7 linked regions of the Nothobranchius furzeri genome follow. The protein of the gene in region 6 interacts with the protein of the main gene of each other region in a pairwise test. Links are inferred from orthologs where the notes say so. Each region holds a gene or a part of one and is shown on either strand. Other genes may lie near its edges. The genes, in order: scly, tubb5, phykpl, serine/arginine-rich splicing factor 11, nmd3, lnx2a and c16h10orf88.

Region 1 (4,024 bases), on a different chromosome or scaffold from region 6:
AGAAAAATGTTTCAACAAATAACCTCCCACTAACACTTTTGATCCAATGTTGATCAGGCTGGAAACGTGCTGCGCAAAAGCTTCTCAGACCTTGTGGCCCACTATGGTAAGGTAATCCACTCCCAGTTCCTGGACTTCCACGGAGATTTTGCCCAGAGCCTGAGCAGCGTCGGTGTGCAGCAGGATCCGGAGACGTTCTGGCTGCTTGTTGAGCAGGTCTACTCTTTGGCAGATTTCTTGGACGGGCTAGAAGGAGGAACAACCATCAGTTTTATCAGGTCACTCCAGTTGCACCAGTCAGTTGGTAGAATTGGAAAAAAGACTCAGGATTAGCAACAGCCGGCTGGCTCCTATTACCATTATGACTCCCGTCTCATTGTTGGCCAACATGACAGAGATGAGACAAGTGTTGGGACGAATGGCAGCAATAATATCCTCCACATCCACACGAGCTGTCACCTTAGACACGGGCACAAATGTCACATCTATGACAAAAGCAGGAGAGTCACTTCACCTGAATTGTTACAGAAAGACAATGGTAGTTAGAGGAGGAGTGGCCCCCTACCGGCCTTTCCGTCCGCGAGAAAGTGCTCAGCTGTGAGTTTGATCGAGTCATGCTCCACGTTGGTGGTGACGATGTGAGGAAGACCAGGGCACCCATTTGTAGGTCCTTCACTTTGCTCTGCAGCCCTGCAACTTTTCTTAAAGTGCTCCAAAGCGGTGTGCAGCACCAGGTTATTGGCCTGCAAAGTGAGTAACTTGTTAGAAACTACAAAGAGATGCAAAAAAACTATCATTCTGATCAAAGCCTCGTCCATAATTTACCTCTGTTCCACCCGACGTAAAAACAATGTCCTCTGATTTCCCTCCAACCATTCTGGCCACACTCTGTCTGGATTGACTGATGATGGATTTGGCTGTGGCACCTGAAAAAAAAACATCAAAAGTATGAACATAAAAATGTATCGTCATGCTTACTTATCCTACTTTGGACACGTGGACCTCACCTGCCACATAGTTGCTACTGGGGTTCCCCCAAGCATCACGGAGAGCGTCAGACACAGCCTGAACCACCTCTGGCTCCAGAGGGGTGGTGGCATTATAATCCATGTAGATCCTACAGGTATAGACAGAGCTGTTTCAGCCTTCTTCGGGATGTTTTAATAAAAAAATTGAGAAAGCACCACTTTAAAACGTATTACCGGTCTACATTCATGTCTGGAATGTGATGAAGATCGTGGTCAGTGAAGGTTCGGCCCATCACCAGGGTGATGTCATCAGACTTGCTGGCCATTCTACTCCTAGAAGCAAATACATGGTAGACCATTGTAACATACAATATAGGCATCTTTCCAAAAGATATTAGGTTATCATGTAGGGTTGGGCAATCAATCGAAAAGTTATTATCGAAGGTTCCGACTCTAATCTCTATCGTTTTTCCCATGTGAATAAATTAGATAACAAAAATGAAAAGATGGGAGTAGGTTGGTGACATTCATGTCTGTACCACCCAGCTAGTCACATGACTCAACATAATACACGTGACAGCCCCATCTAGTGGACAGTTTTTTTTTCTGCACATACCTGTAGTTATCGTCCATTTGTCATAATTGAGGTGAAATCCTCAATTTACCACAATACTGAGTTTAGGTCATATCGCCCAGCCCTACTGCAGAACCCCAAATAGGCAGATGTGAAATGAAATATATCTAAAAACCACACATAAGAACACCATTACATTTACTGTTAGGGGATACTTAGATTACTGTGGTATACTAGAATTATTTTACCTTATATTTAACATATTTTAGACGTGATGTTTCCTTGTTAACATTTTATTTCAGATGTCCACAATGATCATAATAAATACCACTCCTGTACTTTTAGATATCGCGAGGAAAAAGCTCTATGCAGCGACTGACTTAATCATATAATTTATTTAAGAAAAGTGTGACATTATGGGGGTAATTTTAATAATACATGTTTTGAAGCTCCTTTCTAACATTAAATGCCAACTCGGCTTGACCTACCCGGCTCTGTTTAGAAATGGTTGATTAATAAATGTAAATGGGGTTAGCTGAACTTCCAAAGTGATTTCCTAATTCTATATGATTTACGCTGTGCCCTCATTGTACTTGTTCTTCATGTTCTTTTGTCTCTTGTTGTTCTCTTTTACTGGACATTTACAAATGTTACATTAACTGCTCCTTTTGAATTTAAGTTTTGAACTTAACATTGTCAAGGTGCCATTTGTAAATTTACTAAATAAAAAATACATGTAAATGGGGCAGTTTTGTTTAAAGACGATAAGAAATGCCTTCAGGTTGTAACTTTTATCCTTCTGGTTGTTGCTGCGACTCATTCTCACTCATCACCGTTCTGTCAACAGTTAGCTAGCATGTGTGCTAAAGTTACGTGTGCTGTAACAAACGCCTGAGCGGATCAACCAGAACAGTGGGGAGGTTCGGACACAACCATGAAGGATCCATGAAGATATTTCAGATAATCAGTGCCCCGTGTGTTTACTTTAGCTACAAGCTAGCTTAGCTAACTCGCCCTTTAGTTCACTTCACGCCGCATCTCCGTCAAAGACGTAAAGCTGCATCACTTGCTTCCACAGACAGTAAAGGCTATGAAGTAGTCTGGGCTTCGTGCCTGACCTTGAGGTAGGATGTAAAGATGTCCTGAACGATGATGTTACCGTCGTGTCAATGATTAGCTAGCTACATATGAGACGCTGCTGCAGAATGACTCGTCTTAAAGGGACACAGCTGTTGTTATCGTCACTGTCCTCCATGGTTCACTCATGGAGACAGACAGACAGACAGACAGACAGACAGACAGACAGACAGACAGACAGACAGACAGACAGACAGACAGATAGATAGATAGATAGATAGATAGATAGATAGATAGATAGACCGTTAAAACACAGACAATTAAAAATGTAACTCCCAAAACAAAAAATAACATCTCCAATTACACACAGACATTACCTGATGAGCTTGTGATTGGTGTCAATGTGCACCATATACTTTGGGCAAGGAACTGTGTACGTCCTTCTCACTACACATCCCAGATGTGTCATTCGAGCAAGTACACCCGCACTGTCCACACGATGCATGGATGCATACAGTCGGTCCCACTGTACTCTATGTCCCTGGGCAAGTAGAGCGCCTCGGACTACCCTGTACCCAGCATCTGGCATGTTGCTCTTAATTACTGTGATAAAATAATCTAGTTCCTCATCACTGCATTTACTGTATGTGGCAGATACAGATATATAAATAAATATATTATTTTCAGACATCCGTCTAAATAGAGTTGCTCTGGATACACCAAGGAGTTTGGTAATGACACTCGTTGGCAGACCCATTTCCACAAGGTGTTCGAAAGCCTCTCGCGACACCGCCAATCGTTGATGGCCACGAGAACCTCTTTCAACGTGTACCGTTTGAAAATATATGTAACTCTCATATAAGCTCTTTTATTATTCATTCTTACATGCTACTCTTTTTATGGGATCATGTTATACTGTCCTGCACAAGCTCTTAAAACAGCTGCAGGAACTCCAAAAGGGAGTGAGACATTGCAGTCTCTTCTTGTACCAGGTTACCAAGGATGTTTCTGCTTATCTTAAGAATTACAAGTTCTTGTGACATGTTAGATCCTGCCTAACGAGGCAATATATATATATATTTACCTTATAAGCTCATTTTATTATTCTATGCTATGGAAACTCGCTCAGATACTCAAGGCCTTCACACAAAGATTAATAGCTGTGTATCTTCTCCTGCACAAGAGAAAGGAGTGTGCACATTCCATCTCCACTCAGTGCCTCTCGGTACCAGTGAATGTATCTTCTCCTGTCATGAATATATCAGGATGTTCCTGGTAATCTCAAGGATGTATGTTCTAGTGATGTATTAAACTGTCCGCTAACAAGGCTGTTATTTTCACCTGTCATGATCATTGACGTATGTACATGGCAAACTGCGTATGTAACATTCCTGTAATCTTCAAT
Region 2 (4,122 bases), on a different chromosome or scaffold from region 6:
GTACTAAAAGAACGGGAAAAAGCTATTCTGAATAAAAACAATTGTTGCACATTGCAGTCCATACATGAAGAACAGAAATAAAAAAAATCAAATCAATCCTAAAACAACAAGTCACGGTGGATGGAAAACTATAACTATAATTTGATGTTGATGATAATGTTTAATTGTAATTAATTCTGTCAAATAATGTTGAAGCTCTATATTTACCGGTCGATCTAATTCTCACTTATGGTCACAAGCTTTGGAGACCGAAAGAATGAGATTGCGGTTACAAGCGGCCAAAATGAGTTTTCTCTGCAGGGTGGCTGGGCTCTTCCTTAGAGATAGGGTGAGAAGCTCAAGCTCGGTCATCTGGGAGGGGCTTGAAGTAGACCTGCTGCTCCTTCACATTGAAAAGAGCCAGTTGAAGTAGCTCATGCATCTGGTTAGGATGCTTCCTGGATGTTTTCCTGGTGAGGTTTTTCCGGGCATGTCCAAACAGGAGGAGAACCGAAGAAAGACCCAGGACATGCTGGTGGGAATATGTCTCTCACCTTGGGATTCCCTTGGAAGAGCTGGCCCAAGTGACTAGGGAGAGGGAAGTCTGGGCCTCCCTGCTTAGGCTGCTGCCCCCAATGGAAAATGGATGGATGGATGAATAATGCTGATAGTTGTGTTTTTGTGAATGATTGTGAAGCAGAAAATCCATTCATTGATTTTTTTTGTATCTCCCTTTTTCTGTAAGGGTCATGAGGAGCTGTTACAACTGAGCAGGCAAGGGGAATGGGACACTGTAGACAGGTCACAAGTCCATCACAGACATGCAAGTGGAGACAAACAAGACAAGCAACCAATCACACACACACACACACACACACACACACACACACACGTAGGAAAAAGAGTTGCCCATCAAATCAAACTTATACATTTTTGTTCTGTGGGGCCCATCTGTGCCACCTATACACACAATCAGCCAATCAGATCTAGTCATACTGTTTTATTGGTCTAACCAACGTTTTCAGTATATTATCAAAATAAAGAAAAGACAGAGTTTAAAGGAGCTAACTGTCATTCTGCCCCAACTGCACACTGGAATTGCTGCCATCTGTTTTCTCACACAGTCGCAGCGATGATCAGCCCCGGCTGACACTAAAACAGCTGTAATGCATATTTCTGGACACCAGCTGGTAAAATTCTGGTCAATCTCCTTTTCCAATTCCCACTCCCTGATCTGCAGCCGACACGTTCCTCCTCCCCCTGCCGGTCCTCTCGGCCAATCGGCGCGTGCAGAAGCGTGTTGTGGGCGTGGCCGCGCCCCTCTCTGGAGACGCTCCAGCCTTATAAATCCATTGTCCCCCCGGTCTCTTGTCACAAGTCGGCTCGTGCTCGTCCACTTTAATCACATCGCACCTTTTTTCCCGTGAAACCTTCGCACCCATCATGAGGGAGATCGTGCACATCCAGGCCGGCCAGTGTGGTAACCAGATCGGTGCCAAGGTAAGCTCAGAAAATCTGTATAAAATGTTTCTGTGGAATAAAACAGGAGTTACTTTTGCGTTACTTTGTCTAAAGCATTCACAATTACTGTTATATGGATTTATTAACTGATGAAGATAAAGAAATTTACATAAATATGTAATGAAATAAAAAAGTAGTAATGGTCCAGTCTTTGTGAGCACTGCAGTGCACACAACACCGGGTGTGTCTGCGTCCCAGCTCCTAGGATTCAGCCCATCTCAACGCACTGATTTAGGGAAAAAGACAAAGGAAAGAGGGGAAAATGACTCTTTTCTTCTCATGTCAGACCCCCACAGCCTGTGGAGCCTTCACTCTGCTTGCTTTGTCTGGCCCAGGCTGATATGACTGGTGTTTCAGACAATGAGTGGAAGTCTGGATTAAAGGCCTAGTTACCCCCCACCCCCAGATGTCTATGAATCAATAGCACATATTGATTAGATTTGAGTTCTGCAGGCTGCAAAGGCAGACTGCAGGGTGAGCTATTCTATTGGGACGTGATGGAAGGGTGTGGCATGAATAATTGTGAGAAGACAAGTCATTCTCTCCTTTTTTCTGCAAAAAAACACCCTTATGTGTTATTTACTATAATATTCTATTCATCTGATATAATTTGTCATTGCATCATTTAATAGTAAAGTCTAAAATGTTCATCAATGACATCACCCGCCCAGTCTGTCTCTTAGCAGCCGCAGTCTGCAACAATAGGTCTGGGTGGCCCATTATTTCTGCTGTCTTATTGTCTTATTTTTGTTTTACAACTGATCATTTGTAAACGCATGCACACGCTCAAATCCATGCCCTGGAATTAAGAACCCATGAACATTAGCCCGGATTAATGAAGGGTGATCTTTCTGGCTGAGATGTCCTGGAAAGCAGAATCTTTCCTCCCCTAACCAAATTAAGAGAAGGGTGGGGGAGGAATGGAGGAAACAGCTGATGCACAGCGGACGCAAAGTCTCCATTTCCAGTGGCCTTAATGGGCAATAGTTGTCTTCCCAAAGGCACACAACAGATGGCCTTTATATTTTATTAGACATATTTTTATCAAGCTTGTACTGTTAATCATTTTCCCTTGTTCGGGTCACCGCTTTGGCCTGTATGATCGGCTAAAACTACTAGGAGTGGTCTATCAGAGAGCCAACTCGTTTGTTTCCGTCCCCTGGGGGCTCATCGACTCCGATGTGCAGGATTTATGACGGCCAGAGATGCTGAGCGGCTGCACGGTGGTCAAATGGGTCAGGGTGTGGCCTTGCTTTTCCTGCTCGTTGTCCTCATTCTTTCACTGTGATCTTCATCATCACTGATGGGCCGTCCATCAGTTTCTGTCTTCTCACTTCTGCGTCTCTAGCATCGCTCACCCTCGTCTCGTGACATTTAAATGTCAAGATTTGTACTCCACAGCCGTTTGTCTGCAGTGCAGCCGGCGTTAACGGGAGGCTGTAAAGTCTCATTTTGCAGCTGAATACCATAAATCTAAGTGAATGTGTAAAAAAGCAGGAAATGCAGACATGCAGAGGATTTCCTACAGTATCTTAGTGGATTTAATGCGTACCCAGCCTCCCAGAGCTCCGTGGGCTTTTAAAGCCGGAGCAGGACTTGAATACAAATTTAAAGGCCCTCATTGTCCTCGGTGTTGTGTGAGACGCCTTTTTCATTTTCAGTTTGGCCTTCGGAGTGATCAGTGGCTCCTTTGTGCTCCTCCTCCTTCACGTTTTACATATGAAAGCGTTGCATAGCTTTCTGCAGAGTCATGAGCTGGCAGCTTTGGAAATATTTGCAGCTGCTCTGCAGGAAACTGCTTGAATCCTAGCGTATCCTCCAGAATATAAATATGCAAACCCATTGCTGTTATCCTCATTTAAAGTCCCAAAAGGCCTGTAGCTTAGAAGTGAAATGAGTCCCGTCATGTGATTCCTGTCTGCAGTTCTGGGAAGTGATCAGCGACGAGCACGGCATCGATCCCACTGGGACGTACCACGGAGACAGCGACTTGCAGCTGGACAGGATCAGCGTCTACTACAACGAGGCCACAGGTAGACCGTCGTCCTGAAAGGCTTTTCATGACATAAGATGTGCTGTTCCATAATATTTTTGTCCATTGCATTGCTAAGCTGCGATGTAAATGTTACGGTTTCCTCTTTTCCCTTCTGCTCTCCCGTTCACTTTCCTGTGGAGGAGGTAAATATGTTCCCAGGGCCATTCTTGTGGATTTGGAGCCCGGGACCATGGACTCTGTGAGGTCTGGACCTTTTGGGCAAATCTTCAGACCTGACAATTTCGTCTTTGGTGAGTGTCTTCCAGAGAAATCCTTTTACAATATCTGTGATCTGTATGAACTTAGAAAACAAAGTCTCACTTCTTCCACAGGCCAGAGTGGTGCTGGAAACAACTGGGCCAAGGGTCACTACACAGAGGGGGCCGAGTTGGTGGACTCGGTCCTGGATGTGGTCCGTAAAGAGTCCGAGAGCTGTGACTGCCTGCAGGGCTTCCAGCTCACCCACTCTCTTGGAGGTGGGACTGGATCTGGAATGGGAACCCTCCTCATCAGCAAGATTCGTGAGGAGTACCCAGACCGAATCATGAATACCTTTAGCGTGGTGCCTTCCCCCAAGGTGACCCGTC
Region 3 (4,256 bases), on a different chromosome or scaffold from region 6:
AATGCAATCATAAAGCATTTCTCCACTCTGGAGTCCCTACGAGACAAAAATGACCCAATGGACAGATGAAAGGATGAAAAAACCACCTCAGTAGTGTCAGTTCAACGCTAAAAAAAATACTTCTGAAATATAGTTGGTCCATAAGTGCCTTAGGGGATCTGTGACCAAAATCAAGAGGCTAAATAAAGATTACTCTTTGTGAAATGTTTTATTCTGTCTCAGGTGAATAATAGTAAAGAGTAACTAAGAGAGTGTGTGTGTGTGTGTGTGTGTGTGTGTGTGTGTGTGTGTGTGTGTGTGTGTGTGTGTGTGTGTGTGTGTGTGTGTGTGTGTGTGTGTGTGTGTGTATAATCTTAATTACAACTAGGGATGCACCGATACGATACTGGTATCGGCATCGGTAAAGGTTAACCAATACCAATGCAATTGCTTGAAAATGGCTTCACTGTAACTTGTCATTTCTGTTCACCTAATATTTTAGTTTTGTTATGATTTCCATTCATATATTTTACTTTTTATCTACCTCACAGTCTCTCTGTTGAAAGCAGAGAAGAAAATAAAATCTGTATTCAAATCATTGCATTTTTTTGTGTGGTAGTAGTATCGTTATTGGTAATCGGCATCGGTGAGTACTCAGATCCAAGTATCGATATCGTATTGGTTTGGAAAAAAAGTGGTATCGTTGCATCCCTAATTACAACACCATAAATCTTTATCTGTGATACCAAAACTCACCTGGAGAACGTCGTGTGGTGTGCCAGTCAGGTCTATAACTTAGTTTAGGCTGTCAACAAAGCAAAAAGTAAACAGTGTTATACAGCTGGCAGCTCTGCAGGTGAGCAAACAAAAACACTTCATGATTTTTAAGCATCATGCAAACAAAGAATTCATCAAAACTTTTTGATTAATAAAACTAACTAATGTGTGCTCTCTAGACCACTTTAGCTTATAGAAATGATCTGCTGTGTGATTTCAGAACAATTATTTCCATTTAAAGCATCATTTATTTGGTTTTTGTGTTTCATTGCCATCTCTTTTCTCAGAAATCATAACTTAATTTGTGATATTGTCCAAAAACAAAATGCTGTTCAACTCCAATCATTATTCATTTTAATATTTATCAAGAATATGAGAATAATAGTGTTGGATCAATTTAGGTACCTATGCTTCTAGGGAGAAAGTTTCATTCTAAAGTTTGTATGTACACTTGTTCTTCCATCATTTCTCTCCCAGCTGTAATAAAATAGTACAATTGAGTATTTTCTTTATAATCAGTTTGATATTTTGTTAATGTGGGAACCCAGAAAGATGTAATAAAATGTTTCTTATATTATGTTTAACACTTGTTCAGACACCTAAACACACAGAAGGGTTGTGATTATTAACATTAACATTATTATGATTATACAATTTGTTTGTGGGTGAAAGTTCAAAAGAACAACTTGTACCTCAGCAGCATAAAGACAAAAACTCATGTAAGTGATACTCAGAATTCTTCAAGTGTAACTTTTTTAATTATTCTTCAAACAAAACAGTTAGACTGTTGCAGCTAAACTAGACTAAATGTAAAATTAACAGCAGACAGAACGAGCAGCCTGCAACCGTTAGTGATGGACATCTTTAGAGCAAACTCATTCAACTTTCTCGCCTGCTGTTGTTTTCTGGTTTGCAACTTTTTGGTAAACTTTAGTTTGGCTTTCACGCCTCACTCGATATAGAATTTAACAGTTACTGTGTCCCAACCGCTCAGAATCAGGAGGTAATGTGGAAATACGTAATGAATGGATATTTTTAAACGGTGGCCAAGTGGTTACCGTTAACCCACAAGTTAGCTGACGGTGCTAACTAGCTAGTTTCTAGTCCATTCCACAGACACCGGGTTCCTGAGATGTTTGCTGGTTATTTTATCTGCAAGTGCAAGCTTTATATGTATTTTTGGGGTGGTTTACGTAATTTTTGCCCAGTTCGGCATCTTTGTTCTGAAGGAATGTAACAAACACAAACTTCTGAACCGCGTTTGAGTCAACTAACTAAAAACATAGCACGGCGGCTAGCTACCCGCTGGTTGCTAACCCGAACCCAAACACCTGGGGACTACAACTATTTCTTTCAACCTTCCAACTTTCTAACTCTCAACAACATCATTATTATTTCTTGCGACCAACTCATAAATATGTCCACGGAACTTATTTTCTATTCATATCTGAGACGTTTGCAGCGATGCTAGCGTTAGCTTGCCTGCGCCGTTAAGTAGCGTGTGGCTGAGTCTGTGGGAGCGGAGCAGGCAGAGAGGGGGAGCCCATTTCGTCCGATTTGTTATCAGCGAGTGGCGCTACAATGTGAAATATCTGACCCAGAAGCTGAGCAAATAAAGAACTGCGCTGGGAAATGTTCATCTCCAGCTAGATTAAATCCAACTGAATACGCTTGGTCTCCAGTACCGAAAAGAGGGAAAAAACGAGGACTATTTACCCCAAATCAACTCTTTGAAGAGTGGCGAAACAGTGTGCGTGCGTCGGTGCTCCCTCTCTCCCGATCGCCATGAAATTAGACAAAAGAGGAAGTGGCTTGTTGGTGAGGGGGGGTCAGAGACAGGCTGGGGAAAAAAAAACAGAGAAGCGTCCAAGCACTGGAAGGAGCGCCCTCACCTTCCACGGCGGAGCGACGAAATATGTCAGACACGCCAAAGTCTTGTCTGGTGTAACTTCAGCTCAACGAGCCGCAGGGTTGGTGTAGAACTTTAGCTGCGTTCGTGACTCGGGGTGGGTTTGAAGCAACAAGTCTCAAATCAGACTCACTGAAATGAAACTTGATCTCTTTTAATTATTTAGTTTAACAGTTTGGACATTAAAAAAGTCTTTAAAACGTATCGTTAGTGTTCCTGGTAAAGGCACTTTTTAGTTAATTTTAGTTAAGATCAGCTAGGAATTTACAGATTTATGGTCACATTTTGCATCTTTTCAATGGAATTATTTTTTCATTTAAAGATTTCTTTGGGCAATTTTAAAGTTCGATTTTTATCAGATATGAGTGGTCGCCCGGTCATGGACCAAAAGCTCATGAAGGAAATCCGACACGAACATGAATATAAATGTAACTTTGTTAATAGACGATTACAATTTATGTCTAAATGTGTTATTCAAGTTTAATGTGGATTTAAACTCGGTCCATTGGTCTCATTCATCATGCAAGTCTTCTGCTTTTTCACCACTAGGCGTGGTACCTACCCTAATGACCTTCTCTCATGGCTGGGTGATTTAATTACAAAAACAAGGCAAAAGGACTGTTAGCAAATAAGAAAAAGAAAGCAATCTCTATTAAGTTTTATTCATACATAAATTGTGCAACAAGTATACTTCCATCTGTAAAACACAAAAATCTTTTCTGAAAGGCCACCAGGTCATCTGCATCACCACATCCAATCTCACACACACACACACACACACACACACACACACACACACACACACACACACACACACACACACACACACACACACACACACACACACACACACACAGTACTGGCTGGACATGTGCGCTCACTCTCATCGCTGTACATTGTGTTATGGTGTGCCAGAGAGTCCAGCTGCAGCCCAGATTCAGCTATTCAATCATCTGTTCCAGTGCATCGTTCCACGCATTCAAACCTATCTGAATCAGTGCAAACGAAGACTACAAAAGTGTCTGGCTGGGAAATAACCAGAGCACCGAGGCTTAAGGCGTGGTACGTTAACAGTATCATCAGTATTAATGTGGCCAATGTGTGTTGACGTCAAAACAAGGACAGAAGTTCCACGCAGACAAAAGAAAATACAAGTTTAGCAGTTACAACCACAACTTCCCTCTGACAACAGAGTTGATCCACACAAACAGGCTGCGTGTTTATGTATCTACGGGGGTTACGGCTTATCCTGGAATGTATTGTGTTTGGTGTACTGGAGAGAACCTACAGATTTTAGGCTACTTCAGTGTTTGACTCCACATCAAGCTAGGTTTAAAGAGTTCTCATTCAGTTTTAGATGAAGAGATCAGGATCCGACAGCAGCCTACTGCAGCCTCTCACTGGAGAGTGAAACATGGAATATTTGCATGTATCATGTAAGCACAAAGCATGTCTCAGTAAATGCTCACTTTCATGTTTTGTTCGATATGCAAGACTACTGAGAGGCAAGTGTAGGATAGTTCCACTTAAGACTTAGTATAAAATGATTTAAAATCTGTGCACATGAAAGCTTGCTTATTTGCTCGTGCAC
Region 4 (4,028 bases), on a different chromosome or scaffold from region 6:
ACCAACGGTCCATATTTTTTTCAATCAGGAAAAACATTTATGTATTTGGATTTCACAATGAGTGTAAACTATTAAAAAAAAATAAAAAACAACAACAGAATAGAAATGCAATTTTTTTCACTGGTTGTTCTTTGTCTAAATAAACTTTAATTAAAATATTTATAATCTGTCATTTGATTTGATACCACATACCTACCTACTATCTATAAGGGATTTACATGTTATATTTAGCTCAACTGGATGAAAACACAACTCAATCCTGTCAAGGGGAAGGATTCTGCTCTCTAGCGGACATAAACTGTTACTACAGGCAATGTTTATAAAGCTAAACAAGACACAACCAACTAGCTTTTCCTGTACGTTCCTTCAAAATAAAACGCACATAAAATACTTTGGGGTTTAAATGAGGGTGAACAACATAGTTGTTCTAAATAACGAGAATGTCAGAACGCATTCCCTTATAAAAACTACTTAACTACTGAAACTTAGTAAATCCATTTTAATTATTTGTGTTCAAAAAGGTTAATTCGACCAGCGCAGCAAGAGCTATCACCAGCTAGCTAAAGCGCTACAAACGTCTCAAATCATACGCTCTCTAGTGGCAAGAAGGTGAAGCGCAGGAATTTTAAACAATACAGTAAATTAAGTTAAAACTTTTAGCTTAAAAGTAAATAAATATAAGAAGTTACAAACTTTTAACAGCATGGGTTTATATTTTTCTAATTAAACATGTCAGATATAAAACTGCAGAAAAGTCATGTCACATTATGGCCAATTCTTACAGAAAATATCCATCCATCCATCAATTTTCGGCCGATTTACCGGGGTCGGTTCCGAGGTCGTGGGGACAGACGCGACCCCGAAAATATACAGAAAATATATTTTGCTAATATTACATTCAGTATACTGTCTGTATTTATGTTGGAGCTCTCTTACATAAATAGGTTATCTATTGACATGTTACAAAAGCCTTATTGTGAGTAAGAGTGACTTTGAAATGCGTTTCATTAACATTTATTTTTGTTGTTTTTTATTTTACTTATGTTTAAAATGTCCATATTTACGAAGTTAAATCTTTTTTTAAACCTTAGTGGGGTTGTACATTGTAATAACACGCTATAACCTACGAGTGTTCTACTTTTATAACCTAAACAGAACCGGACAAGATTTCATTAAAGAAAGTCTAAAATACCAGCGTAAAACACGACACCTGAAGGCAGCACAGCAGCCTCCGTAGTCACGACAGTTGCGGCCATTTGGCAGCTGCATTGTTACCCATCGCATTTTTCATCAACATCCTTTTATCTGGGGGAAGACATTTCTTGTATTCGCTTGATGAATTTGACTCTGTTAATATTTGATACTTTGATTCTAACTTCAAACTTAACTGCTTGCTTGTTTTTACTGCTGTGTAAAAATGAGTTCTAACACGCACGTCATTCAGGTGACAAATGTTTCTCCGAGCACAACGTCCGAACAAATGAGGACTCTCTTTGGATTCCTCGGAATCATAGAAGAGCTCAAACTGTTTCCACCTGAGTGAGTATCCTTGTGCTTTGCTCAGGTAAAGCTTTCCCAGCCCACAGACGGGGCTTCCGGAGGCCTAAAGCGACAAGCAGGCCTCGCTGTCTGCTAATGCTAATATTTACCCGCGCCTCCAGTCGCTCCTCGATCATAACACGCTTCGGGTAAATAAGCTTAATGCTAGAAAAACATTAGGGTTCCCAAACGGTTATTTAAATATCTCTTAACTGAAGTTTGAAACAAAACTTAACGTCTTGGAGAAAATTTGGCATAATATATTCTTGAATTTTATTTGGGTTATTTTTTAATAATAAAGAAAATACGAACGAGATATTGCAGTTTAGACATTTAATTTGATTCAAAAGGATTGTTTCCCACGTTGAGTCCACTACCTGCATGCTTACTGTGTTCCTGCTTTAGCACACGTGGTACAAATTGAGTTAATTAGCAAAAAACGTGCAGCAGAGGTAAATCATTCAATTAAATCGGGTGTTCTGAAGCAGGGGCGCAGCAAAGGTAGCGTTCACCCTAGGTTGGTGCCTGCAGGGACGAAATTTTGATTTCAGAAGTGGGGGGGACACAGCAGGCTTGTGCGGATTTGGGGTGGGGGGTGTTATGTAAAGACCCCTTGACACGTCACGTGCCCATCTCAATAATTTTTCCATCCTTATTGAAGTGCAGTTTTGGCTGTTGACAATGGATAGGCCATTGTATTTATTGTTTTGGGTCTTTTTTTATTGTTTTTGGTGCAACATTTTCTAACAGGGAGTGAGATTCCTTTTTTATTTAATTTTTGTTTGTTATTTTTATTCATTTAGAAGTTCTGGTTCTGGACATTTCAATGTTAAATGAAGGTTTCTTTGTTGCATTTTAAAGGGTGTACTTGCATTATTATGATATATTAACATTATATTAGTGGTTATTTTGGTCTAGATAATGTTGACAATATCGTTTATCATCAACAATTTGTTGGACAAAATATCATCCAGCAAAATGTGTTACTTTCCCAGGCCTAGTCAAAAGTATAAAAATTATTTATACATAAACGGTCCCTCCTGAGTAGGGCTGCAACAAACGATTATTTGGATAATCGATTAATCGGATGGGGTCTCGACACGATTAATCGGATTACATAGGGACATTTTTTAAAACTGCTAGGGAAACGTTATTTTTCTCCTTCCTTCCTTCACTTAAACACATTATTAGAAAACAGTTCAATAGCAGAAAACCAACATGCCATCACCTAAATTGTCTTATAAGGTGTATAGACAGAGACCTTAAGCTACACCTATCTGTGACCTAAAATGCTTGGTCCAAGTTAAACAGCTTAAAGAGCAAGTCAACCCCTACCAGAGTCTAACTCCACTCCCGCTTCATGTTTGAAAAATGCAACACATGCTGTTGCCTGGCAGACCGAGAGGGCGGAGCCGCTAACAAATACACACACACTCAGGCTCACGACAGCATTGTGACATCATAATGTACCAGTTTACATCATAGCATACTTCTTAGCCAATAGCGGTGGCAGATTTAAATTAAAATACAGTGCAGAGTTTTTACCTGACAACGGCACAACACTGCCAGTTTTAGGCAGAATATTTAAATTTTAACTAAGATGCACTGAAGTGCCAAATTATTGACGACACGTGTCTGCAGCACGATTAGACACTCGTTTATTTAGTTTATCAGCAAAAAAAAGTTTATTTGGGGGTGACTTGCTCTTTAAGGGCAATTCTCATCTGTTTTGTTTGATCTCATCTGTAGACATTTATTATAACTGGGGATGTCAAACAACTAATTTTTAAATGAAATTAAACATAGGCTGTGAATTAATCACTATTTCCAAAAATGACTGAAAAATACCAAATAAAACAAAAGTAAATGAATGCCATCCTCCTTGTGATGATGCCCTGGGCAACTGCCTTAAAGTCACATCAAGAAATGCTGCTGATCATTCCAATGATCCCAAATAGACTCACATTAGGACACATGAAAGCAACTGAACCCAAAAATATATTAACCAGTATATAACTACACGCACACAACACGCCTGCAGCAACAGTTAGGACTCCTCCCTCCCTTTTAAAAGCATTTTCGCTTGTGAGGACACTGTGGTTGTAAAACCACATGTTAGTAGTCTGGCCCCGGTGTGATCAACCAGTTTCTGCGGGAATGTGACGGCGGAACCGGTTCGCAGCGGCGCGAGTCCTCCCCCCCCCCCCCGCCTATCTAATAGCGTCGCGCTTACAATTTTATAGACTTTTTTTACGAGCTTAGGGCATGTCTAGCCTGTAATAATCCGGGGCTTGGGTGAATCACTTTTGAAAAGTTTTTTACTTACCCGGACACCGAGCTCTCTCCTTCCTCGCTGATGATTCTGACATGCTTGCGTTTAAGACGCTGCATCATCACCGTAGTATCCCCGTGCCATGCTAAGTCTGACCTACAAACGTTGCATGTCTTCGCCTGATTTAACTGAAAATGCTCCCAAACTTTAGAAGTTT
Region 5 (3,388 bases), on a different chromosome or scaffold from region 6:
AAAGCTTGGGTCCACTTCACTAAATGCGATGGGTAACTGGGTGATGATGAAACCAGCGACAACGATCTAAGTGAGACATCCTCATCTTAAAGGGGCATTATGAAAGTTTGACAGCCAAAACATGTATAGAAATAATAAATGTCTTCTTCATACATTCTCCTGCAATGCCCTGGTCCTGTAGAATGAGCCCTGGCATTTTTACTGGGATTGCCTGTTTTTCTGTAAAATCACAGAAAAAGAGAGTTGCTCGGGTCGAGCAGGCTGCTTCATGCGTGTTCACGCTCAGGCATCGCCCTCTGAACCGTTGTTTGAACGTTGTTTCAGCTATCATGAAGGATATAAATGTTACAGATACAGAAGACGCCACTGGCGATTTAGCTCGCCCAGTATGATGTGGGGCTTTCGTGCAGAAGACCCGGGTTCGTTTCTGGATGTGAACAGTTGTTTTAGAGTTTCTTTTTTAGATTAATGATTTATTGTTTTTAGAGTAAGATGCCCACATTTTTATTTGAAACTCGCCGAACGGCATTGAATTCACAGATAAAAAAGATGTGGGTTCATCTTTCATTTTGGAACAATTTTTCAAGCAAGGGAAGGGAATGATCTGAGCATGCAGGAGGACTGACCCATCTTAAACCTTTGTCGGCTGTGCTGAAGAGAAAGGTACAGAACCAAATTATTTAATTAATTAGCTGCACGTTCTCCTGTCCTCTGTCCTCCGGGCCACACACACACACACACACACACACACACACACACACACAAAGGAACTGTCAGCTCTCAGAGCTGACGCTTCACAGAGCTTCGTCTCAGCTGTTATTTTCGTTAAGGAGTGTGCACGTACAGCATGCGCACCTCGTGCACGAGCCTCCTATTGAAGCTGCCGTTACGCTTTTGGCCCGAGGGGGCAATCACGAGCATAAAAATTCAAAACTCCGTAAAGTCCCTTTAAGCGTTCGCTTTCTCCTCTGAACTCCAAATTTCGGACTAGAAGAACATGAACGCGCTCTAAAGTTTGGCTTCACTTTACTAAATGCGACGGGTGATTGGGTGAAGATGAAACCAGCGACAACGATTGAAGTGTGAGGCATCATCATTTAAATCTGCTCCAGCAGCTAAATAAACGGTTTAAGATAACGTTAGCTTGATATATTAGCTTCCATTGTCACCATTGTTATCAGCTAATGGTGCGTTCACTTTCTGCTTGGAAATTCTAACTTCCCAGTAGGAAAAATCAAATGAAAAGGACGGCAAAAGGAATGAAGATACACAGTAAATTAAGTTCACAGTAAAGATGTTTGCTTCAGTTTAATTATCAGCTTATAAAACTACAAGGACGATGTTAAAATACAAACAGTTGTATGTTATTTATCGTGATATTTATCAAATATGGTTATTGTTGAGAAAAATATATATTTAATTATAAAAGAGAATTAAAATATTAAACACTCAAAAGTATCTAAAATTGGTACCGTTAAGTACCGGTATCGATTCCTAGGTACCGGTAATTAGTACCGAATCGATTCAAATGTCAAAGGTACCCATCCCTAGTCCCACACACACATTTAGTGACACTAGAGTGCAGATCAAAGGGTTAAATGGTGCAATAATCCTTCGTTTTTTTTTTTAATTACTGGTTTTTAACAGTTAAAATGTCCCGTGGATGTTTTTGATCTTCTGTGGCAGATAAACTGGCTCTTATTTTCATTTTTCCCATTAATCAGACAATACCAAGACTTCCTAGAGGACCTGGAGGAAGATGAGGCTTTGAGGAAGAACGTCAACATCTACAAAGGTGAGCAGCTTCTTAAAAGCTTTTTACGTTTATATTTTCAGACTGTGGCTCATTTATTGACTCTCTTTAGTTTGTTCTCAGAATTTGTCACATTATCCGTCAAATATGTTTAACAGGGTATCCGCAGGTCCTTAAAAAGTCTTAAATTTGCTTTTCCAAATTTAAGGCCTTAAAAATCCTTAAAAATGACAAATAATCCTTAAATACAGTTTCCAAGGGTCTTAAATGACCAAAGACCCAATAAACTAAATTCTTTTACTTCTATAAAATTTTTGTGAATTTCTAGTTTTGTGTTCAGCATTTTTTGTGTGTGATGTTGGCGTAAGCGGAACCGCACACATTCAACTGGTTGTGAAAGGGGGCTATTTTTAGATGAGCACATTAGCTGGTTATGCTAGCGGGAGCTTGCGCCATGGGGAAATGCAAGTTTAATGGTAACTGGATGGCTAATCCCACGTTCGCGATGTGGTTAGCGCCGGTTCCAGGCAATAGCTGGAAATTATAGCTTAAATTTAATTAAAAAAATAGCTTAAATTTGGTCAAAGTGACCTTAAAAAAGGTCTTAAAAAGTCTTAAATTTGGCTCCCTTAAACCTGCAGATACCCTGGTTTAATCAGATAGACTGAACAGATGGTCATTTACTACACTTTCTTTACCTCAGATGCCTCCAAGATCCCAGTGGAGAGCGACACGGATGATGACGGAGCCCCTCGCATCTCCCTGATGGAGATGATGGAGGAGCTCAGTCTGACAGATGCCACAGGAGGAGAGGGCGCTGACATGATGACCGAATAACCAGCTGCTCGCCTGCGTGGCGCTGATGATGCAGTGAATTACAAATGTCCGTTTTTGACCTCGCCACAAACCGATGATGTTTGATGATGAAGACATTCTGACTGAGGTTCATAAACTGGGACTCGTCGTCTAAAAAAGCACTTTCACTACAAAAGAGCTTCAACTTTTACATCTGGTCTAATAAAACACCTCGTATCGTTTCTACTCTCACTCAGCATTTAAAACGGGTGTTTTAAAATGAGTAAATGTTATGAAATGTGAAAACAAAGTGATCAAAATAAAAATTCACCCATCATGACACATTTTTATTTGTTTTCTGTACCGGAGCTCCCACCAGCAGAGGGAGCTCTGTCCTAGAAAAATGTTTAAAGTTTTACATTCAAAACACACACACTCACTCACACACACACACTCACACACACACACACACACACACACACGAGTCAGTTAATGGTGTCAGTTAATGGTGTCGTTTGGCTACTGTGGAGGATATGCAAAAACCTCTTCAGCTGTGGTGTGTTTAAAGGAAATGGGAGTCTGTAAAATCTGGAATACTTGATACGACTTGGATTTAAATATGCTTTAAATGACAAAATGAACAGCCCCTTGTTTGTATTTTGTAGTGCAAACACGCATGTTTGCACTTCTTAAACATGTTTATATCACCAGGAGCTGTACGATATGCAAAAAAGTTTAAAAACATGGCGCGGCTGCAAATCTTTCAGCAGTTCTCACTGATGTGTAAAATATGTAAATAATGGATCAGGCTGAGTGTAACTCTCGCTGTGGGTGTATGGA
Region 6 (4,132 bases):
TTGTCTCGGTAGGGTCGGGGGGGGGGGGGTGCCCATCTCCAGCGGTCAATGGGCAATCAGGCGGGGTACACCCTGGACAGAGAGCCAATCCATCGCAGGATCTTATTTCATGTATTTCAAAAATCAAGAGTTTTACAGTCAAATGCAGCTGTTTACCCTCTAAATTCATGCATGCACAGTTGTTTATAGTTTTCATGCATGCATCCATTGATAATGTCTGTACCTTTCCTACCTGTGTTTGAGGTGTGCCTCGAGGTCACATCGTGGCATGCTGAGAGAGCAGACAGGGCTCAGAGGGCAGGACACGGACAGCTTGTCCAGCAGCTTGTGCACCAGGATACTGGATCTGCGGCAGGCCTGCAGCTGCAGCCGTGTCCTGTCCAGAGGACAGAAGTCCCTCTCCTGGAGGAAGCTGCGCAGGCAGCGGGCGCAGAAGGTGTGCCCGCAGGGTGTGTCGAGAGGCTGCACCAGAGGCTGCAGGCAGATGTGGCACACCAGGTCGTCATCCACCTCCAGGCGGTAATTATACAGGTGGTTCTCCCAGCTGCGGTGGATCTGGCCACATTCTGGACACAGGGCCTCCAGCGCTGGCTCCACTGGCCCGGCAACATCCACTTCACTGCCTGGGCTGCCCATAGCTTCTCCGTCAATACAGTTCAGCTTTGGCACAAATGGCTCCAGTGGTGCTGCAGGGATGGGAAAGGTGGGTTGGCGGGGAGCACTCCTATCCCATAAGCTTCGACAGGTTGCAGAGAGGACGAATGCCCTCAAGCGGCCGGTGGCGCATTACTCAGCAGGTCAGAGGGCACAGCAGGAGGCTTCAACAGCTGTTTCTGCAAAACAAGTGTCTGATTATGGGAATTTATTCATGTGGCAAATGATTTGTGTGCACGTGTCTCCGTGAGTCCGAACTCTGTGTGGGAATCTGCTGAGATTATGTGTTGCTGCTCCTGTCTGCTAATCTGACAGTATAATCTCTCTTTTGCTCTCGCCTACTCCAATCTTCCAATTCGCCGAGAGGGAATTATCTGGGATTGAAGCAGAGAGAGGACACAGATCAGAGAAAGCGGGATTGGGAAATCAGCTGGAGGAGGTAGTGAGGGCAGAGCCGCGAAGGAGAGAAGGAGGTTTGAAGATGGGTGAAAGAGGTCAGGTAGATTTGTGAAAAAATAAATAAATAATAAAAAAAACAGAAAGGGCCAAGAAGGGAATAGAAATTTCACAAAAAATGCAAAGCATGAAGGCAGAAATAGTTTAGGCGCTTGATATTTTTGGCTTGGACCATTTACAAAGGATGAACTTGATCTCCTCCACAGCAAGAAGAGAACATGCCTTAAGCAAAGTCTTGAAATAAAACAAACAGAGGAAGTCCCTGGAGCTGCTGCAGAAGAGTTCACACTCGGAGCCTTCCAGACCTCCAACACCCCAGAGGGCCCGATGCCTTCAGCGGACAGTAGAGGGCGTGCCTCCCTGCTCAGTGGCCAAGCCACAGTGACTACCTGCCTCTGTTCCAGCAAAGGGTCTGCTCCTGTCTCCATGACGACCTGCATCCTGTTCTGCTCAGTGGGGCTTGACATTCAGAGTGTAGCCAGCGAAGGATGCAGAGGAGGCGCAACAACAGATGCACTTCTCCCAGCAAGATGCTGAAAGCTCGTCACACTGCGCAGAGCAGGATGAAAGTCCCTCCGGTTCATTTCTATTCTTGCGTTTGATTTGATCTGCACAGATTGTCTCCTGACAAACCTGTCCCTACCGTCTCCTTGGCCACGGGACCAGTAGCCCCTTATTTCTGTCTCCTTTTCAAGCACATGCTCCTGTCTGTGTGTGACTGGCTGCTTCTGTCTCTATCCCGCAGCTGGACATGAATTAATCATGAGGACACAAGGCTTCTCTGTTTCTGTAACAAAGCTGTGACATCACCACATCACACACAGACGTGTAGACATGCAGGCGTAAACCTGCACGCGCATACGCAAACAAGCACACGAGCTTTATCCAGCAGGCCCTGAAAATAATCTTTGGGATTTTAGAACTCTCAAAGCACTTTGATCTTTTTCAGGACAATAGTCCTCTGCAGAAGTATGAATGCATGCATGCTTTGTATTGTATTAACGAATGACAGAATTTTGTCTACACACAAATGACAAACTAAGGTTTTAGCACGTGCAGAAATGCAATAACCAACAGAAATGGCATCATAATTTAGGCCACAGATTTTAAAACTCAAGTTTATCTTACGTTCGACCCGATCTCTTCATCCATGTTTTTAAATTTATTTAGAAGAGGCCTGCAAGGTGTGTTTCAATTGTCTGTTTTTCTCCAGGCAGACGTGCAGGGGTGACAACAAAAACAGACACTGATTTGATTAAATCTAGCATTTTCTCCTCCTCCCGGTGTCGTCGTCCCAGATTGCCTTGCATAAACTGCAGTGTCATATTCCGGTTAAGTCAACATCGTTATTAAAATCATCGCACCCCTCTTTCACCTCCCTCCCCAGCTGTCTGACTTCATCCCATCCTGCAGAAGCGGAGGCGCGAGAGGACAGGACAGAAGAGGCGACAGCATCAACCCCGCTCGCTGACACAGCTCATGCAGGAGATGGATGTCTCCAGATGTGATGGATGTTTTACCTTCTTCCGGCGGCTCCTCCGCGCCGTCCACTCGGGCCCCAAAGCGGGGAGCAATTATCAGCTGCGGGGCGTCGATCACGCATTCGCCGCAACCGACGGAGAGCTCCGCAAGCCCGCAAGAAAACGCCCCCGTACCGTTGGCGCCGCTGATCCCGCCCACCGCTGCCAATCAAAAGGTGATGGGAGGAGTCTACGGAGCTGAGTTTAGAGGTGGCTTACACCGACCGCCTGTTCAAAAACAGGATCAGAACAAAAATTAGAATAGAATAGAATAGAATAGAATAGAATAGAATAGAATAGAATAGAATAGAATAGAAAAAAACAGAACAAATATATACTTAATTATCTGCCTCAAAAGTATTCTTACAGTGCTGGGTGAAGTGTATTACCCACAAGTCATTGCTGCAGGAGAAAGGGTTCAAGTTCCTTTTCTGAATATTTTCTAATGGAATGAGTTAGTTTTGGGACAATCAGTTGATGCTCTGAATGTTTTAGACAAAGCAGCAATTAATTAAAATTTATTTCAAATAATGGGTTGTTTGTTTAAAAGTTGTTAATAAAGGCTTTTGAAAAAGTATCACAGGACCAGCATCTCGGCATGCGTTGCGTTTCATGACGCAATGCTCCCTGTCTCACTTCAGCAATTATTTGCACAGTTGTAGTCCACGCACTCGAAGCCTTACTGCACACTTTCTCCAAGTGCACTTTGCTGAAGACTGCAGGGCGCAATGCGAGTATTGGCACTGGGCCTGCTTGTGATGTCACAATTGGGGACAATTTCAAATAGCTTGTTTTAGGCACAACATTTCTACAACCACACATTGGCATGTTTGGAGCGTTTATAGAGGCAGAGTGCACATGGCGGCACAAAAAGGATGCAAAAGGCATAATATGTCTTCTTTAAGAAGATTACTTCTAAATAAAAATGTTTGTTATTGTCCTTTAATGTATCACAATCTAGATTACTAAAATATCTTGCTTGATGATATTCTGTAACTATCACTTTACTTTTGATTAAGCCATTGTATGTATTTAAATTATTTTTACAATTTACCAAAGAATTAAGTTGGCTTAGTTCCCAATGGAAAATGTTTAATCAAATAAAAAATGTACAAGTTTAAATGTCACATTTTACGTTTCGATTTGAGTATAAATCCTTTTTTTTAACAAAGTGTGTTTATATATTTGTTTGATTCTATGTTTGTTTTAAAGTTATTTGTGGCCAAATGTTGCTAAAACAATCAGCTGTAAATGTTTTTCCAGGGGTGCCCCATAACTTATTGAACTTTTAAAAATATCAATTATTTTAATTAAAAAAGATCAATACATAATACACAAACATATCTACTTGTAAATAAAAAATGTAGTTTGGTTTCATAACTTATTTTCAACATGATTTTGCAACTGAACAGGCATTGCTCCGGGCAGCTAAAAACAGGGTCCGCGATTGAAGGACCTCTCGGCGAAGTGAACAAGAAATGCCTCGTAAATTAACGTAAATT
Region 7 (3,957 bases), on a different chromosome or scaffold from region 6:
GACAGGTCATTAGTCAGCTGGTTAATGTCGGCATGTGCTTTCAGGAGGAGTCGAACCACTGCCAGGTGACCTCTCTGCGCTGCCAAGTAACACGCAGATTCTCCCTCATGAGTCAAAGAGTTCACAAAATCACGACTTCTAGAGAAACATCCTACACACAGAGAGATGGGTGGACACCATAGAATGAGAAATCAACATGAAATGCAGACCCGACTCTAAAATCTGATCACAACCCACTTTTGGTGGAAATAACACAATAACCTGAGTCTGCATTCATTTCAACACAGAGCCCAAGCTATGTGTGTCAGTTATGAACAATTAAAACACAGTAACTCTAATCAAGTACATAGTCACAGGTGAAGCCAGCAGAAGCTCAAATTCAGCAACTTTAGTGAAATTTGGATGAAATCACTTTCAAATACATTTTTTGTCTAACAATCAGTTTCCTCTTGAGTTTTATGTCAGAGTGGCTGTGCAAAAACACCAAATTATATCTGTCGAACGTTGCCATTTTATTAACTTTAGCGAATAAGAAAAAAAAGCTACCATACCTTTCTTACAATTAACGGCAGATAATATTTCCAGCACACACTCCTTACTGCCAGCTGCAGACGCCTCATGCAGAGCATTCCAGCCGCGGTTATCTCGAGCATCCACACTGAACCCTCTCTCCATCAGCCTCCTCAGCTGTCTTCTGCTGCCTGAACGGGCGGCAGCAGCAACACGGGACACAGTGTCTGCGTAGCACTCTGTGAAGTCCATTCTCTGCTTTAGAAAACAGGCAGTTTTTCAAAAGTGTGAAAATGAATGAAAGAGAAGAAGAAGAAAAGAGAAAGCTAAAGTCCTTCAGAGATCCTGAAGTTAAGCTACCCTAGCTTAGACAGTGTTGAAATGACCACTTAAATCACAATAGTTCACATTTGTTGTTAGAATTAAAGAATAATATATAACACGATTGGTTGAATCTATTTTGGACTGAAAGCATCAAACACAAGGTAATAACAAAACAACATAGTTTATCAAGGCTACACTAACTGAGCATCTTTTACTCAAAAACACGTCTACTTAATGTGCAATAATACTCGCTAAATTCATTGGGTTGTTAAAAATAAAGGGATTTTCTTACCAAAACAAAAGTGCTGGTGGGTGGACTGAGTCGCTGGTTGATGACGTACCTTTTTTTCCGTCGCGTGGTACAGCGTCACAAATGCTTCAGATTACTTAGGTAAATTTTCAGTTTATTTTTGTTATTTCTCTCTGAAAGCTCGGCCCAGGGACGCTTTTAATCACGCCTGGAGACATGAGAGGAAGGAAAGCCTGACTGAAGCCGATTTTGTCTCAGCTGACGCAGTTTTACTGTAAACAGCCCGTTATTGTTAACGTTAATGTTAGCTAGCTGCACGATGAAGGAACTAAAATCTGGTTCAGTTCTGCTTTTGTTTAGAAGTAGAGATAAAACTGCAACCCTTCAAATGCTCTTACAGCATTTTGGTGCTTTTTTCATTCTGGGGAGCAACTTGTTATTTTCCGTTTTAAAAAAATGTATTTCATTCAACCACATTATTTCTGGCCAGCGTATGTAAATCACTTCGTGTTTATTCAGATAACGCCACATTAATAAGAAAGATAATATTATAAGCAGCTTGTATTCAGGCACTCATTTGATTATGTCCTTGAATAAAGGGCTAACTAAACGCTGCTGAATCTAATTTTTCTAAACTGTCTAACATTTCCTTCAGAATCCCTACATATACTCTGTTATTATTTGGACTTAATGCAGAATATTTCTCAGTTGTGTCTTTTTTCTCTTGTGCTTAAGGTAACATCCCACCTGCAGCCCCACCGGTAGCATCATGGTGGACATCAGTGTAAAAAGAGCAGCTGCTTGGGTGTGTCAGACTCATGACCTGGCAGATATCCTTCTTCCTGTTCATCTCAGCACAAAAGACAGTGAAGACGAAGATCTTAGTCTGACGGAGAAAGAAGAGACTGACAGGTTGGAAGCCTTTTATCAAGGCAACATGTGTATTTCTGGGTGTGCATGCTTTCTTTTGCAAGCAAATGTGTTTCTACCAGCAGAGGATGGAAAGATTGATGTTTGCCATGAATGGTGCTTTATCCTTTTGCGATCTTTGCAGGGTTGTTTCTGCGCAGTTGGAGCAGGTGGAGGAAGGATCGCCCTGCATCCTCACTCTCAGCTGCAGGTCCAGCTCTGATACCATCAGCCGCCTGATGGTCGTCAGCGAGGCTCGAACCATGGAGGTGTACAACCAGATGGAAGAATACTGCGGGACAGTGCGAGGCATAAAGGATAAAACAATCCAGCTTGGGTAGATGAACCCACACTGAAATATTAGCAAGCAGAACACTGTGCAGCTGTTTAAATGACCACTTCAGATTTTACAGCTATATCCCCATTCTAGGGGGTATATTAATTTTTATACATCTCAAAGTGTTTGTGAAATCTTAGATATCTAATATTTATACTCATGCTCTCTAAAGAGACCCCTAAAAATACAGCCTAACAAGCCTTCAAAAGATATTGTAGTATTTTTTGAGTTTGTCAACTAATTGATGATCTCTGTTCCTGTGGATCACAGTGAAGACAGAGGTCCTGTTTACAAGAAGCAGCTGATCCTTGAGCATCCATCATCAGCTTGTGAAGTGAAGGTGAGACGTGCCAAAATTAAGATTCTGCATCAGTACAGTGTTTTTATGTATTAGAATAGACTTCATTGATCCCACAGTAGGGAAATTCACTTGTTACAGCAGCACCAACACTTAAGAGAATCATTTGAAGAAAAATAATAACAAAGGTACATTTATATACACATATTGTAACATTTAACCACTAAAAACCACAAATAAAAATGAAAAATTTGGGTTCCAGAACTATGCAGCATATTGTAAGGGACACAGACATACTATATAAATCAGGTATTGCACAAGTACTGAACATAGTTTTGCATTATCCTAAAGAAAAATTGGATTGAGCAATATTTTAATTTAATTTTTAAATAAGTTTGATTTGATTCTTAAACTGGCTCTGCATTTCTCTGGCTGCTTTCCCAGTTGCTGTCCCTAGCAGGCAGAAGTAGTGTTGTGGTGTGTCGTGTTGTTGTGGGCCTTCAGGAGCTTCAGCCTGGCCCGGCTCATGGCCCTGGTATAGACCTGCAGCAGGTGCAGTGTCTGGTTGAAGAGATGGGAACAAGTTTGTCTCCTGGAGCCCAAAACCTCCTGGATATGGTGCAGTTCCAGCAGAAGGTGGGAGACTGACCCTCTCTGAGCTCATGGTACCACTTTGGCTCCGTCCTCTTTGATGTGTTGATTCCTGCCTGCTAAACTGACATCCTTCTTAAAAACATTTTACAGTTACATCAGCTTTGATACTCAGATCAATGAAAAATCAGGGAATAATACAAAAAAAGAGCTGCGTTGAAACAGAAATGTGTTTTTCCAGAATCAGATGAGCTCTCTGAGTGGGTTCCTGCCTCTTCTGATGGGCGGTGGAGCTTTGTCTGCCTTAGCTGGAGGAACCGGAGCATCTACGTCAGCTCTCAGGAATCCTCCTCAGCCATCAGGCTTCCTGGTATGGGTGCTGATTGTTTTTTATTACCCGAAAAACTCTGATCTCTCACTGGAACTGAAATTACATCCTTTCATCATTCACTGTTACTAATTTTTTCAGGCCAATATTCTGTTTAAATGACTTTTGTTATTATTTATATTAGAACGGTTATGTTCTGGCTAAGTCTTATGATCCAGGACATACAGAATCAAAGGAAGAGGGTTTAAAAGGAGAACTAAGGGAGCGCCGTCGAAGTGAGGCGAGGGTCTGTACAGTCACGTGACATGGTGGTCGATTTAGTGGAGGGATGACTGGAGCTGGAGAGGGAGGTGGTCAGGCCTGAGGAGGGTTCAGGCTCGAGAGAGGTTCTCTGTAGAGGAGGGGAGTGC

Evidence for each region.
Region 1: the proteins of lnx2a (region 6) and scly interact in binary tests that used the Homo sapiens proteins (3 or more experiments, as listed by UniProt). The link is inferred for Nothobranchius furzeri from reciprocal best matches to the Homo sapiens genes LNX2 and SCLY.
Region 2: the proteins of lnx2a (region 6) and tubb5 interact in a two-hybrid assay, tested with the Homo sapiens proteins (3 studies listed by BioGRID and IntAct). The link is inferred for Nothobranchius furzeri from reciprocal best matches to the Homo sapiens genes LNX2 and TUBB.
Region 3: the proteins of lnx2a (region 6) and phykpl interact in binary tests that used the Homo sapiens proteins (3 or more experiments, as listed by UniProt). The link is inferred for Nothobranchius furzeri from reciprocal best matches to the Homo sapiens genes LNX2 and PHYKPL.
Region 4: the proteins of lnx2a (region 6) and serine/arginine-rich splicing factor 11 interact in a two-hybrid assay, tested with the Homo sapiens proteins (3 studies listed by BioGRID and IntAct). The link is inferred for Nothobranchius furzeri from reciprocal best matches to the Homo sapiens genes LNX2 and SRSF11.
Region 5: the proteins of lnx2a (region 6) and nmd3 interact in a two-hybrid assay, tested with the Homo sapiens proteins (3 studies listed by BioGRID and IntAct). The link is inferred for Nothobranchius furzeri from reciprocal best matches to the Homo sapiens genes LNX2 and NMD3.
Region 7: the proteins of lnx2a (region 6) and c16h10orf88 interact in binary tests that used the Homo sapiens proteins (3 or more experiments, as listed by UniProt). The link is inferred for Nothobranchius furzeri from reciprocal best matches to the Homo sapiens genes LNX2 and C10orf88.

Annotation. Positions count from the first base shown.
Region 1 is NC_091756.1:60,348,215-60,352,238, reverse strand, and holds the start of scly (selenocysteine lyase), read right to left. Parts: upstream 2,801-4,024; 5' UTR 2,661-2,800; intron 1,302-2,660; 5' UTR 1,295-1,301; coding exon 1,203-1,294; intron 1,118-1,202; coding exon 1,008-1,117; intron 927-1,007; coding exon 826-926; intron 744-825; coding exon 566-743; intron 486-565; coding exon 358-485; intron 247-357; coding exon 91-246; intron 1-90. UniProt on the Homo sapiens protein: Catalyzes the decomposition of L-selenocysteine to L-alanine and elemental selenium.
Region 2 is NC_091745.1:74,453,510-74,457,631, forward strand, and holds the start of tubb5 (tubulin beta-5 chain), read left to right. Parts: upstream 1-1,322; 5' UTR 1,323-1,422; coding exon 1,423-1,479; intron 1,480-3,424; coding exon 3,425-3,533; intron 3,534-3,675; coding exon 3,676-3,786; intron 3,787-3,867; coding exon 3,868-4,112; intron 4,113-4,122. UniProt on the Homo sapiens protein: Tubulin is the major constituent of microtubules, a cylinder consisting of laterally associated linear protofilaments composed of alpha- and beta-tubulin heterodimers.
Region 3 is NC_091741.1:97,210,117-97,214,372, forward strand, and holds the start of phykpl (5-phosphohydroxy-L-lysine phospho-lyase), read left to right. Parts: upstream 1-1,456; 5' UTR 1,457-1,475; intron 1,476-2,472; exon of another isoform or gene 2,473-2,639; intron 2,640-4,256.
Region 4 is NC_091748.1:59,490,342-59,494,369, forward strand, and holds the start of serine/arginine-rich splicing factor 11, read left to right. Parts: upstream 1-1,228; 5' UTR 1,229-1,417; coding exon 1,418-1,539; intron 1,540-4,028. UniProt on the Homo sapiens protein: May function in pre-mRNA splicing.
Region 5 is NC_091753.1:52,720,024-52,723,411, forward strand, and holds the end of nmd3 (60S ribosomal export protein NMD3), read left to right. Parts: intron 1-1,724; coding exon 1,725-1,795; intron 1,796-2,456; coding exon 2,457-2,590; 3' UTR 2,591-2,888; downstream 2,889-3,388. UniProt on the Homo sapiens protein: Acts as an adapter for the XPO1/CRM1-mediated export of the 60S ribosomal subunit.
Region 6 is NC_091747.1:51,103,466-51,107,597, forward strand, and holds the start of lnx2a (ligand of Numb protein X 2a), read right to left. Parts: upstream 2,801-4,132; 5' UTR 2,631-2,800; intron 2,608-2,630; exon of another isoform or gene 2,239-2,607; intron 834-2,238; 5' UTR 637-833; coding exon 233-636; intron 1-232.
Region 7 is NC_091756.1:51,770,885-51,774,841, forward strand, and holds the start of c16h10orf88 (ATPase PAAT), read left to right. Parts: upstream 1-1,157; 5' UTR 1,158-1,225; exon of another isoform or gene 1,226-1,358; intron 1,359-1,819; 5' UTR 1,820-1,853; coding exon 1,854-1,996; intron 1,997-2,138; coding exon 2,139-2,330; intron 2,331-2,600; coding exon 2,601-2,670; intron 2,671-3,072; coding exon 3,073-3,264; intron 3,265-3,460; coding exon 3,461-3,589; intron 3,590-3,957. Other genes in the region: asb3 (ankyrin repeat and SOCS box protein 3), read right to left, coding at 1-151, 552-762. UniProt on the Homo sapiens protein: ATPase that regulates mitochondrial ABC transporters ABCB7, ABCB8/MITOSUR and ABCB10. Regulates mitochondrial ferric concentration and heme biosynthesis and plays a role in the maintenance of mitochondrial homeostasis and cell survival.